Tamandua tetradactyla: one gene and its partner. The protein of the gene in region 2 interacts with the protein of the main gene of each other region in a pairwise test. Links are inferred from orthologs where the notes say so. Each region holds a gene or a part of one and is shown on either strand. Other genes may lie near its edges.

Region 1 (6,890 bases), on a different chromosome or scaffold from region 2:
GTTGAGGGGGGAGGTCTTCCCCTCTCCTGAGTTCCTGAAAGCAAATTTCTCTTCTTTCCTTGGAGTGCCCTCTGCTTCTGAATATAAAGACTCGACCCCGTGAGTACCGGGTAGGATGGAGGGTGCTTACTCCATAAGCATGGCCCCTCTCTCTCTTTGCCTCAAAAGTTCTGAACTGATGAGAGTGTGTGTTCGGAGGGATGTCACGCTGAGGTGGCCTCACTCTGCTTCCTTTAGGAAAGATCGCCCTTTTCTACTTCTGGGGGTCTCCTCCCGGGGTGGTAAGGGGTTTTCCTAGCCTTTAGGAAGGAGAGACGCGTCCTCTATAGGGGTCTCTTCTTTTCCTCGCCCGAGTGCTAAGGGTCTGTTCTCCCTGTTCCGACACCCACTCCCGCCTTCACTCCTGGGGTGCCCCGGAAGGTGGGGCTTTCCTACTCCCCTCTCCCTGAGCTGGCCTGGGCAGTAGGGTGCGGGAGGCCGCGGCTCCCGACTCCCGGCACCGGCTACAGTGGCGGCAGCGCCTCCTCTAGTCCCGTCCGGGCCTGACCGCTCCCTTCGGCGCGTGGGGCTCCCGGCGCTGCCACCTCTCCGACTCCGGCCAGTCCCGGCTCCCGGGGAGCCAGAAGGCGTACGGACCGTGTCAGGGCTCGGCTCGGGCTCGGGCTCGGCTCGGCTCCGCTGCAGGCCCCGGCTCCTCCCCGGCCTCCGCGCCGCACTCCGCGCCCCTCCTTCCCCCCCGCCCGCCCGGCCGCCGCCACCGCCTCCCGGCGCGGGTTAAGGAGGAGCGGGGCGGCCAAAGCGCGGGCAGCGCCGCCGGGGTGCGCGCGCGCCGCCAAATTGCTGCGCGCCACCCGCCAGCTCCCGGGAGGACCAGCCTTCGCGCAGCCCGCAATCCTGGGGCCGCGCACCGCCGCCAGCGAGCCTCCTGCCACCGCCCGGCCGCTCTGCTCCGCGCAGGTCGCCCAGACAACCCCACCGCTCTCCATCGACGGACAACTGTCACTCTGACCTTTTTTTCTTTCTGTATACAGTTGAACATCCCCAGAAGTTTTCTCAGGAATGTCTTTGATGAATTTCTTCCTCCCATCCCGTCACCCCCGCCCCCAATCCGCCTCACAGACTGTTGGTACAGGGTTATCGGGGCTGGGGCGAAGTTAATGTTAACCCTGAAATCATCCTGGAGTTCATTCAAGTGCTTATTGGACGAGTGAATGCATAAAGGGATAAATGACTGTATAACAGAGAAAACTTTTGCAGGTCTCTTGTTCTCTGGAATCTTGGTCAGCAAAGAGGAGACCTTGAGTTCTGCCTACTCACTAAGGCCGTTTCAAGAACCAAATGAGATGATTTATGTGAAAATACTTTTAAAACCGTACAATATACAAAACGCTTTTAAAACTGTACAATGTACTATATATTGTTCAGTTCTCTTTATCATAGCATATAAAATGTTCTCAACAGCACAACTCTGCTCCAAGTATGCATGCCCTCACAGAATAATCCTCACTCAGAGACAGAAAAGGCCACCTGGAGCACACCTCCACCTTTCTCCTGAGATCATAGTATTTCTCTACAAATGCTCTTATATTCCAACCTCTGGCCTATTAAACTTTCTCCACCCATTCTACTTTGTATCACGTAAATAACATGAGAGCAGAAATGTTGTCCATGAAATATTTGAATTGCTCAAAAAAGACTCCATACTCAAAATTACAGCTTGGTGACATTTAACCTTTGGACAATAAAATATTTTGTCTTCTGACTATATGTAGTACTATATTTTATTTAAATTATACATATACATTATAATTGCATTTTATTTACAGTGTCCCAGGCATTGAGCATGTATTATCACATTTAATTCTTATAGCAATCCCATAAGGGATTATTTTATACCTATTGTACAGATACCGTTGTCTTAACTGTCAGAAACTAAAGTTATCCTTAAAGTGGATCAAGTCCAACTGAGCCTTTACTTCCTGACAATCTTTCCAATATCCAGGTTTAAAGTTGTACTTTTTCCCCTCTTTGAGGCATTAATTCATTTTCCCATGTGCTGCTATAGAAAAATACTTTGGCAGCGAATGTTTCTTGCTATGTTTAGGTTGTTTTGTTTCTTTTTTCAACCCTTTTGGGCATTTTCTATGTATATAGAATTTGGGTAGAGAGATAAAGTACTAAAAATGGGAAAGAAAGCTAGAGAAGGCTTAGAATCTCCTTTCTGGATATTTGGAAAAATAAAAAGCTTAAGAACTTATTTGATATATACACGATACTTACTGCACAATTATTTGTAACGGTAGACAATTAGAAACAACATAAATATCCAAAATAGAGTAACAAATAAATTATGGCATATATATATATATATATATATATATATATATATATATATATATATATATATATATATACACACACACACAATACACTATGATTTCGTTTTTAGAAGAGTAATTGTAATTTACTAGGGAAGGTGAAATTAGTGCAAACTAGCTTTTCTTCTTTACAATTTAGATATTTTGCAGTAGACATGAATTATTTTAGATTCAATTTTTTTCATATATCTGAATATATTCCAGTGGGAAACTCATGTTGAAAAACTGTTTGTATAATATGAGCATATCATTGCTCTTTTTTTTTTCCAACTTTGTACTTTTATTATTATATCATGTTGTCCACAGTTCATTTATTCTCCTTATATTTTTTTACTTTTTTGTGAAGAATAACATATACAAAAAAGCAATAAATTTCAAAGCACGTTGCAACAGTTGTAGAAAAGATTTCAGAATTTGGTATGAGTTACAATTCCACAATTTTAGGGTCCTAGCTGCTCTAAGATACTGGAGCCCAAAAGAAATATCAATATAATGATCCAGCAATCATACACATTTGTTAAACCCTACCTTCTCTGTATAACTCCACCATCACCTTTGATCTTTCTCCTGCTCTTTAGAAGTATTCCGGCTATGGCCATTCTAACCTTTTCATGTTGGAAGAGGCTGTCAATAATATGGGAGAAGGGGATGAAACTAGTTGATGTTCTGGAGAGGCGATGCTTTTAAAAATATCTGTACATACTGTGTAAAAAAGAGGAGTGATTAAGATTTTTTTTACTTCATTTTATACTCTATATATACTTTATATATTTTTATATGGATTTTGTTTATATAATCTTTTAGATAAAAAATTAATGAGGATGATTTGGTTTGGGGGGAAGCACTTGCATGCATTCTCCTCTTACTTTCTTTTAAGGAAAGTGATATGGAGTAGCAAAGAATAAAAAAAATGATCCACCCTTACTAAAATGGAACATATTATTCTTCTTGAGTAAAATCCTTCTTCATAATATTTTATTATGGTGATTGTTATGCTAAAATTCACATTTTTGTAGTATTAATTAAAGACCTATGTATTATTTGAAACATAGTATACTGGATAAGAACACATCCTACACGGATTCAAAAACCAGCTTTGGCATTCAATAACTAAGACCCTGGAAACATCACTAAACTGTTCTATGACATAGCTTCATCATCAGTAAGAGGGGATAATAGTATGATCATAGTATTATGGAGGGGTTGTGTGACTTTGTATCTCTAAAGCAGTTAGGTAAGTGCCTGAGAGAGGGGGAACCTAGTCTTTAAAAGAAGTTTAGAAGACACAGAAACTAAATAAAATTTATATGGGCCAAGAGACATCCATCAAATTCAATATGCAAACGGTTTGGGGGACCCTTTTTTGAACAAAACAACTGAAAAAATATTAAAGGACAATTGGTGAAATGTCAATATTGACTTGGGTAATATTAAGGTATTATTGTTATATTTTAGATGTGTTAATGGTATGGTGTTAATTTTAAGAATCTTTATCTTCTAGGAATGCATACTGAAGAATTTAGGGATAAAATGTCTGAAAATTGCCTCAAAATAAGCAAGGCGGGGGAGTATAGAGATGAAAAAAGATTGCCCAAGTGTTAATTGTAACAAAATGTGTTTTAAACAAATACTATTCGCTATACTTTTTTGCTTGAAATTTTACAAAATAAAGTTTTACAAATACTGTTTTTGAAAAGTACTTGAAACATACATAGTAGACTATGTAAATCTTTACATTATCATATGTTTTGCATGCATATTTCCTTTTGTTTACACTTCTCAGATTATGCCATGTTTGCACTTACACTAGTTATTTTAGTACTCACAGTAAACCTGTGCGGTAGGTATTGTTATTCCCATTTCATAAAAAGGAGAAAACTGAACCAGAGCCAGGATTGCAAGGCCGTACAATGTACCACCTCCACTCTACCAGCTTCCAAGGCACCGGTTGTAAAGAGTAGGAGTAACCCGCAGCACAGGGTCCTGGCTTCCTTCAATAGCTACAGCCATGTCCAGTGGGGGAGAGACAAAATCGATATACAAACTATTCATTTAGGAATTTTATCAAACGAAAACGGAGATATTTGCACATCAGAAAAATTCTAGCAGCTGCATTAAAATGTCATAGAAGACAGCGGAAAAGATTAAATTATAGAGGAAAAGTTCTCGGCATACTTTACTTTTCCTTCACATAATTGTTTAATAATTCGCTTTCTAAACAATTCTTATTTCTGTTTATCCCTCCTAGTAATAAAACTGGAAGAAAAAGTCTGCGGGACTAGATTTGAGAAACTGGGATTCAAGTTTGGGAGCCAGGAAGACGTGATCTACTAGCCCAGGCACCCAATAGCTCATTCAGTTCCACCTTAAGAGGACGGCGCCTCTCCCAAGCAGAGCATCCACTCAGCCCCTCCCACCCCCGTGTCAACTACGACCCGGGAACGTGGGGAAAGGAGGAGAGACGCACAGAATGGAACGACTGGCGCCCGAAGTTCCAGAGTCTTCTTTTCCCCTTACTCTGCCGACACCGGAAGAAGCGCGTGAAACAGGGGCCTTGAGGCTCAGTTCTCCGGAGGACTTCAGGGAGGGGGCTAGGTTTCACTGAAACGCCGGGGTGGGAGGTGAGGAGTGGGGCCCATCAAGGGGTGGGGCCGAAGTGGAACAGAACTGGGGCACACGAGATATACGGTACGCCGAGATCTTGGGTCGAAAATTAAGTTCACTGGTCCCGGACGCACCTCTTCGAATCGTTTGGAAAAGAGAGGCCGACTTTTCCATTCTCCGCCCCCGTTTCCCGTCTTCATTTTAATTGGCTGGGTTTAGGGTAGGCTGGGCTCCAACTTGCGTGTTGATTGGCTGTATAAGTAATCGATCACAAGATGACGCCGGCGAGGGAGCGCTGTTTGGGGAGGAAGTGAAGGATAGTTTGGTACCTCCTACGCCAACTACTGATTGGTTAAAATTAGCGATGATGTAAAGCAACACATAAAAATGCCCTGTAAAGGAAAGAGCCTATTGGCCACTCCCGAGGTCTAGGCTAGGACCGGGAAGAACCTGCCAGACTCTGATATTGTAGGGAAGGACCAAATTAGTTGAAACCCGGAAATGAGTTAAAGGAACTGAAGGAAAAGAGGGATACCCATGGCATTTTCTTTGCCCTCAAACATGTCATTTCCTGCGTGGGATCGATAGTTTCCTGTTTACTTCTCCGAGGTCGGCGTGTACGCTGGCTTTCTGGAGTATAAATGATTAAATTCATTTGGTCCCAGACTTACCATTTACTTACAGTATTAGGAGAATGAATGAAGTGAAGGAAAGAGAAAGCACGGGATTTAACCCTCTCTTTGGGGAAGGCTAGGGAAACAGGCTCAGTAGAGAAAGCTGAAAGTCACGGTATACAAGCAGGTGGGATCCTAAAGAAACTAATTATGCAATAATTGCAGAGTGGTGGTAGAGAAAACAGTAAAGACTTGTCTGCAGAATGGCCAGGAGCTTTCCTGAGCTAGGAGTATATTTTATTCATTTTTGTATCTTCTGTGCATGGCAGTGTCCGATACGTAGTAGATAGTCAATAATTGCAGAACTGAACTAAGCTAGGGTGGAAAGTCCTTATAAAGTATACTGGATGGATTCTACAGATGCCAGACCTTTAGGGCATGTTTTTAAAAGGTATTGCTGCCAATTTTATGACCCAGAAACAATTTTTCACACCGTTAATTGAACAATAAATTTCCCCTCAATTTATCTTTCTAGAAAAATTGAACAGATAAAGGGGATTAGTGGAACGATGTGCTCTAGATTGAATAAATGGAAAATAATTTACAATCTGAGGTTACAGCCTAAGAAGAATTTGAAATTTGAGTGTTTAGGAGATACTTTCTATGCTAGTAAATTATGAAATCACTTGCTTCCTAAAACAAATGTCACTTTTTTCTGGGCCAGACTTTTTCTTATAGCTAGATTTCAGCAATACCTGAACGTTGTCTAAAAACTGTGCTCCGAAATTCAGGGAACAGTGCACGGACTTCCTGTTAGGATTACAGCTAACGCTCCAAGGGCTGTTTGTTGAGTTTCTACCACACATATGTACTGCCTATCCAAAGAGATCTCATCTTTTCATGATATCCTAGGTCTTCTAGGCCAGATTATTTATAGAAAGTATAATCATACTGGCTCTTCAATATCATTACAGTCATAGTTTACAGCCATAGTTTCTAAACAAGAACAGGACTCAGCAGCTATATTTGCAATAAGAGTCCATGGGAAAATTATTACTGCACTATAAACAGTTCTAGCATAGTCAAGGTATGTGTTGCTTAGGCAAAAGGGCATGCGTTAAAAGGGGAAGGAGATTAACAAATATATGAAGAATCCTGTTTATGAGAGAAAACTTTTTTAACATTTTTTATTATGAAACAACATATATATTAAAAAGCAATTAATTTAAAAATATATTGTAACAAGTGGTTATAGAACAGATTTCAGTTTCATATGGGTTACAGTTCCACAATT
Region 2 (7,816 bases):
TGTGCAAATTCTGCCTTTTAAAATTTTACTTTTTACTGAAAACCTGATTGAAGAGAGAGCAGGAAACTAAGTTCGTATCATTACTTTAGGAAGTAGCTCAGAATAATGGATACCACTGAGGGAAGAGAAGTGAACAAAGATGAAATGAAGGTGAAACTAATATAAATCAAATGGAAATGGAATGTGTGCATTTCTACAATGCTTTAAAAATGAGTTTCAAACAAGAGACCCAAGTGCTAGACCTTGCTTAGGAGACTTCTGTATATAAGCATATCAGGCTTTTAAAAATGTTGACTATCATTTTTAGCTCAAGCCTGATTTGCGTTTGGTTCTAAGGGGCCAGGAAATGAATATACCAATGTAGAGGTGAATTTTCTGAAGGACAGGAATGAAGATTTTTAAACAGCCAAAGGAAAGCGGGACATCTGGGTCTGGACAGATGGTGCTTAAACCCAACTCTTCAGTGAACAAAATGAACCTTCTCATTTTAATTTACAATCTCCTTCTGAAAGTTATCTGCAAAGTTACTTGTTCCACCCAGAAGATAAACCACTCCTGAAGAATCATATCTAGAGATTTTTTTTCCCCCTCACTTTGAGGTACACAATACTTGTCATTCAATTCGTCAAGTTAAAGTGTAGCCTGAAACCCCACCCTCATCCATTAAGTCAAAGCAAAAGAATAAAATTTAACTTTCAAATGTTTGTGACCTCTTTCTAGCAATTAATTCTGACTTCCCTTGGAGCAGATTCTGTTCCTAGTATCCTGGGGGGAAATTTCCTAACTCTAAATTGCAAAGAACCTTAAAAAAAAACACAAAAAACAGATAAGCCATTTGTTATTCCAGGTTGAAGTTCCATGCAACTTTGCATTGCTGAGTAACCCTCCCCACCACCCCGCCCCACCCAGTTCTCCCATCCCAGGAGACAGGCAAGGTCACAGTACAAAATCAAAGCTAATCAAGACAAACGACTTTCTAATCCACCACAAGAAAGATGGAAGAGCAAAGAAACACTGTAATAGCAATCTTCTACAGAATTCAGCTAACTGAATTTCCCTCAAATCAAAGTAAAATCTAGAAAGCAGAATTTTCTTCTAATATTTACTTGATTTGATTATTTATGATGCTTTTCAGAAACCCTGTTCCTGCCCTCCAGGCTTGAAAGGAATATAACAACCTACTTGTCCCCTGCTCCATTCACCCACCCCAATCTTTCACCTTATGGGAAAATGAGATTACAATGGTTGGTTTTATCACAGGATCAATCTTGAATCGAGAAATGCAGATGTTTTTAAGGAATGGGTCACTGCTGGTATGCTTTATTTGACTGTTTGAATAAAACTTTCCTATACTTCAGAGTCCGCCATAAAAGAAGTGCAAATCACAGCACTGTCACTGGAAAAATGGCTGGTCTATCATTTGAAGAAAGGCAGCCTGTCTTGACCATCCCAAAGTAATCTAAGTGCAACAACATCATGGTACCTACATGTTCCCTTACTTCTGCCAATCTCCCAGTAAACGTCAACAAGATAAAATTACCACTCAGGGAGCCACTTCTGGCTATGTGAGCAAAGAAATCATTTCTTTCCATCATTTCTTGATTACTCTCTCCTGATCACGTAACCGGTTGTTTTGAGTGGATTTTGCCATCAGTTGACAGTGGCGAATGTTGGACACATGTTCACAACCAAGTGGATGGTTTAATAATGTGCTGGGTCCAACCAGTCAAGGGTAGCAGCCCTCAGAATGAAGAAGGGACCTTTCACTTTATAATGGAGGTGTTTTACCCTTTCACAAGCCAAACTCTTTCCACACCTGCCACACACTCCACAAACCAATTGCCACGTTGCAAAATCACAGCTCTCTCCAGAACTCTTTGAGTGCTTTTGTAGGAACCCCTTCTGAACACAATGAAGGGGCATCCTGGATGAGTTTAAAGCAGGCATTTAAGCTAATGAGTACACGTGTGCCTCAGATCACACACAGTGTTTCTAATATCCTTTCCTTCGTTTGGATCTCGGAGAACGGAAGTCTCTTAAAATCAGACCAAAAGCCACGGCTTGTTTAGCTTTTAGCACTCACTGGAGCCATTATTTCAAAGTCAACAGAAGACCATTAAAATTAAACACCTGAGCCCCTTACCAGCGACTCTGGCTCAGAGGTGCCAGGAGACAAAACTGACTTCTTGATTAAAAACTTGCAACCCTGCGAAGGCGGCAGACAACTGCCTCCCGAACGCTCCCAATCCCTGCGGGTGGCAGCAGCAGCGGGGCGCCGGTGCCCGCGTGCGTCCTACCTTAGACCTCTCCTTGACGTAGTATTTGCCCAGCCGGCGCCCGCAGTACAGGACCAGCCTGTCAATGAGGGACAGGAGAAAGCTGATGGCCTCGCACCCCTCCTCGTTGCCCCCGATCCACGTGATCTGGTCGCCCCGCAGGTGCCGCTTGGAGACTCCAGCGCGCGGTCCCGCCAGCTGGCCGTCCCGGAGGACCCCGTTGCAGTGCAGCTGCTTGACGCGCTCCAGGACGCAGTCGCCCACCACTTCGCCCAGGAAGTTGTCCAGGTAGCAGAAGCCGACCTCGTGCAAGTAGGGCACGATGTACTCCAGGGCGATTTTTTCCAGATCCAGCCTCATGATGTGTCCCAAGGGCATCTCGTCCGCAGAACCGAGGTCGGGGGCCCCCACTGTGCACTCCGGCAGCGAACGAGCTAAGCGTGCGCGGAGAAGAGGCGCGGGGTGCGTTGACTAGGGGTTCAACTACCTGCGGCGGCCACGGTCCCCGAGCCACCGCAGCCCGGAGAGAAGGAAAGTTGTGCGCAACTCTGGGGCGAAGGGATCCGGTCCAAGGCCCAGCGGGAGCAGTGCAGGGCTCCACGGCGCAGCGCCGACCTGCAGGACTCAGCCCTGGACTGGCCTGGAGAGAAGTCGGAGAGCCCCTTTTAGCAGAGATGCGAGGCCACCGCGGACGCGGCGGCGGCGGCGAGAGGCAGCTAGAGGCTGAGGTCCTACTCCTGAGCTGTCCCGCCTCCGGGACAACCCCTACTCCCGCCCGTCGTCCCCGCCCCTTCCCTCCCTGCCCTGCCCCCTCCGCGGAGGCTCTCCGCGAGCTCGGCGCCAGCCTGGGTTGTTTGTCACACCGAGGGGGGCTGGAGCACAGAGGGAAGTTTCCAAACGCTATCGATTTGCATGTGCTTTTGCATAAACCCCCATGACAAACTCGAAAATCTGAAGTGTCGAAAATCTGAAAGTGTCGATGAAATTAACGGCATAGACAATTAATGTTGCCACAATCTGGGCTGCTCACCTCACAGGCTTTTGAACAAAAATATTAAACCCAGCAACAAATTAGATATGTCAAGCCGTCGTCTCATTCTAGCTTTACCTCGTGCTTTTATTATTCCCCTTTCCCCTTTCCCCTGCGGTGTGACCCTGGTCAGGGGCTTCAAACCCCTGAGAGGATTGGAAGCAAAACAGTGCTAACTAAAATTAGCACCTTAGCAAACATTTTCCTAACTCCTACTACGTGCAAGTCCCTATGTTCTCAAAGAGCGGGAATGTGCACAGTGAAGAAATACTTTCTGGGCCATATCTGATCGAACCCTGCAAATGTTCTGTTTTTCTGGATGTTCTCAGACATTTACCTTTCAAACTTCCAACGAAAAGATGATGTTCTGAAATTTTACCTTCCAAATTAATCAGATGCTCAGTATAGGTATGCCCTCAAAAAGATAAAACTATTCTGGATCCATCCTCTCACTTTTCCCAGCAAGTGACCGCATCACCCAGAAGGGGTGAAACTTTTAAGTATTCAAAGGTCAGCTGATTGCTTTATGAATTACTGGTCTTTCCTACCAAATCAAACAGCAGAGATCAGAATCAAGAAAGGAAGTTTCATAAATTGCATGCATATCTGTTGCCTATTTTATAATTTTCCCATTTGTTTGCACTCTAATTCTTCATTTAAGTTGCACAAAAGAATATACAGGTCTTACAAGTACATTTATTTCATACACAATCTACTACAGCTTTTTCACTTCTCTTCTCCTTTAACAGCCCTTCCCTTTCTATGTCTGAAGAGAGAAATGTAGAGATACAAACTAAGTGAAGTCTAGACCCAGAACAAGAAGTAGAATAAGAAAGGGACATTGTTACTATATGATGGGGAAAAAAGCTGACAGAGGCACATGGGTGCTGGGAGACGTCAATGTTGGAGCGTTTAAGAAACTTTGGTAAAATTTCTAGTTATACTGAGAGGAGGTTCCCTACCTTTGGTAATTAGTTGGCACCTTTCCCCTGGGGTAAAGGCCTGAACCGGCCAGCACTCAAGGACTTGTCCTCCAGATTCCCATAGCAGGTCTGTGATGGCCAGAAATCATCATCCTTGGATCCCCAAATCCGGGCACATAGTAGGTGCCTAAAAAAATAATTACTGGGAAACTGGGGGCTGACCCTGAGCTATGGCCACTGCCATGTGTGGTTCAGACGTGTCTGGGCCTGTGTGGGAGCCTGCTGAAGGAAGCTGCTTGCATGCGGAACTGAAGAGCCTTCCAGAGTATTGACTGGACGGAAGTGGCAGGCCGATCAGCCAGGTCCCAAACCAAACCTCAGAGGCCTGTGGAGAGGGTCAGTTAGGTGTTATACAGGATTTTTGTCTCTTAGATTTGTCTCCCCAGCCAACCGTGGTGGATGCCCATGCTGGAAGCCAGAAACCTAAAGTGAAAGCTGGAGGAACAGCCCATGTGCAGCAAGGAGTGAAATGGATATGCAATACCAAAAGGAAGGAAGGTCCTTCTGCCTGAACCTCACATAGCCAGGAATCCCAGTAATCTGGGGCATTATAGATAATGGGATGACCAGGGGACACCTAGTTGGGAGGCAGCCTGATTGTAGGTCCTGGTAGGCAGAGGCTTGTGGATCTGGCAGTTTGGGAGACTGTGTGTACCTCAGAAGTAGCTATTCCTGAAGAGGGCCAGAATTAAAAGTGGGGAAAATGGCAGATACCTTTGATAGCTGGTTGAATTTTTTCTAGCTGAAGGTCCTTTATAAATATACCTGATGGTACTAGGAATAATTAGGAGGGAATTTATAGAACACCAGAAAAAAGTAAAATACAGAAAATTATAAACCTGCCACCTAGAATGAACATGTTGACCCCACTCTAAAATCCCAAGATTAGGTAAATTTGGCTTACTATTCAAATAATATTTGAATAATTTCAGAGTAAAGTTGTCACAAGAGGAAGGGGAGAAAATCTTTAACTAGCCCTTTGCTATATAGTTCATCCACATTGTAACAATAATTCTAAGCAAGTTGTAGTGACTGTTTGGTGGCCTTAAAACTGCTCTAGAGTACTCTGATTGCAAAGTGTGAGCAGTTTATAGAAGAATTCATTTCTGTTGGCACCACTCCTGCTTGGCAAGGGCACCTATTAATCAAGAATCTCCTTCAGCTTGGGGCTGCCCATACTGCATTTGGCAGAGAAGACAGAGATACAGAGACTGGCAGAAATCACAGTGTGTGATTACACAGAGGGGAGCAGACAGGCTGGAGCCACACACAGGCTCTGTAACTGAGCATCAGAGTGACAAATCTCAAGCTAATTTTTGAAGTGCATTTGTTTTTGTGACTTTGCTCATTAATTTGAGTCATTATAGTAATGAATATTAAAATACTTTTTCATATTGATAACTAAAACAAATTCATTTCCCTGTAATTTAATTACAACAACGTTGTCTTCCAGTGAGCATCTGCCATACAGATGCAAGAATTTTCAAGCATGTGGGTGAGGAGGGTTGTTGAATTTCTTTACCTTGGAATTCAAACTTGAAGAGATCTTAGGGGTCACCCAGTCCAGCTTCACTTTCATATAGAAAGCCATGGCCCAGAGGGGCTGGACATTAAGCTACTTTTCTAAGTAAGATGTTTCTTGTGAATGGAAGAGGAAGCTTGGGATGCTTCTGTCTTTGCAGTTAACAAAGCGATCCAACTCACCTCTTTTTAATTTTTTTTAATGTTATTTATTTGTTAATGAGGTAAAACTCACATTTCTAACATGACTAATTTGGTGGCATTTATTGCATTCACACCATTGTGCAACCACCACCTCTATCTAGTTCCAAAACATCTTCATCACCCCAAAAGAAACTCTGTACCATCAAGCAGTTAATCCCAATTGCCCCCTCCTACCAGCCCCTGACAACCACCGATGTGTTTTCTGTCTCTATGGATTGACCTATGCTAGATATGTCATATATATGGAATCATACAATGAATGAGCTTTTGCATCTGGCTTCTTTCACTTGGAGGGTAAGCCACCTTGTACCATGTATCAGTTCTTCATTCCTTTCTTACGGCTGAATAACATTCCATTGTATGCATATGCAACAATTTGTTTACCCCTTCTGACAGATGGACTCTGGGGCTGTTTCCACCTTTTGACTGTTGTGAACAGTGCTGCTATGAATTTGCAAACAACACTTTGTTAAGTCCCTGTTCTCAGTTTTTTAGGGTATGTACCTAGGAGTGGAATTGCCAAATCATATGGTAAATTCTGTGTTTAACTTTCTAAGGAACTGCCAAACTGTTTTCCATAGTGGCTGAACCATTTTACACTACATTTTATAATTTACATGCACAAGTACTGTATGAATTTTCCATCACATCCTTTCTTATTTATGAAAAAGTGTCTAATTTGTTTCGTTCCTTCAAAATTCTGTTGTGCCTGAAGTTCCTTCCCTCCTAACTAGCCCCTAAATATTCTTTTTTTGTGTTTTTGCCCATATATCATCAAGAAATTTATTATTATATTGAATGACTTAAGGTAGCCAAAGGCTATTTTATTTATTTATCCAACACTTTTGTAATACTTAGAATATTCCAGGCACTTCAATAAAAACTTTACAAATATTACCTTGATTCATTCTTATGTCAACACAAAGAAATAGATACTATTATTCCCCATTGTGAAAATGACAAAAATGAGGAACAGAGATATGGAATTTGTCCAAGGTCACACAGTAAGTGAGTTTATAACAACGCTGGAAAAATTTTGAGAGATTCCAATATACTGAGCTCAGGAAGGAAAATATCAGTTTGAACTGCTTGCTTGGAATAGAAATGATTTTGCCATTAAGTCATCTTTTTGTTATAACTCTTTGCTGGAACGCTTTAACCTGCAGTGACAACTTTAATTATCAGTTTCCTTACTGATGTTGGGTCCATAGGTAGATAAGCAAAACTTACCATAAATTATTTAGTTGACTACATTAGGAGTTATTTTCCAAACTACAAATTAGGGTTTCTCCCTTGCTCCATACCAATTACGGCCCAGTGTTTCCAGGAATCCAACATAAATTCAGTTATGTATAGGTCTGTTGAGACTAGCCATTGGTAATTTGCTACCACCTCAGTCAGCTGTGTTTCTCAGTTTTACCCTTCAGGACACAGGAAATGCAGTTAATTTTAAAGGAGCTGGCAAAAAATAAGAGGAGAGTACCTGAAGTGAATTTGTATATCTTGAGCTCACAGGTATGAATTGGGCTTAGAGAAAGAAGCATCTGATTATGTCCCTTTCCCTGTGGAGTCAGGCCTTCCTGTTCCTCTCCAGGTGTAACAGGACGGCAAGGAAAGTGAGTTTCAATATCAATTCTTAATTCTTTCTCAGTCTATGGTTAAACTCAATCCTCTTTCATTTTCTCTTTCATTATGCTGGCCATGTGCAGATTCTGGGACATGTGACATATCAAGGATATGCATTAATATTTTCCAATCCAACTCTCACTTGAGCTGAAATGTCTAAAAAGCTCTGGCTAGAA

What was found.
Region 1: the proteins of EGLN3 (region 2) and FOXJ2 interact in binary tests that used the Homo sapiens proteins (3 or more experiments, as listed by UniProt). The two-hybrid records come from large-scale screens. The link is inferred for Tamandua tetradactyla from reciprocal best matches to the Homo sapiens genes EGLN3 and FOXJ2.

What each region holds. Positions count from the first base shown.
Region 1 is NC_135333.1:70,436,249-70,443,138, forward strand, and holds the start of FOXJ2 (forkhead box protein J2), read right to left. Parts: upstream 3,006-6,890; 5' UTR 2,929-3,005; coding exon 2,907-2,928; intron 695-2,906; exon of another isoform or gene 1-694.
Region 2 is NC_135340.1:20,112,194-20,120,009, reverse strand, and holds the start of EGLN3 (prolyl hydroxylase EGLN3), read right to left. Parts: upstream 3,004-7,816; 5' UTR 2,655-3,003; coding exon 2,298-2,654; intron 1-2,297. UniProt on the Homo sapiens protein: Prolyl hydroxylase that mediates hydroxylation of proline residues in target proteins, such as PKM, TELO2, ATF4 and HIF1A. Target proteins are preferentially recognized via a LXXLAP motif.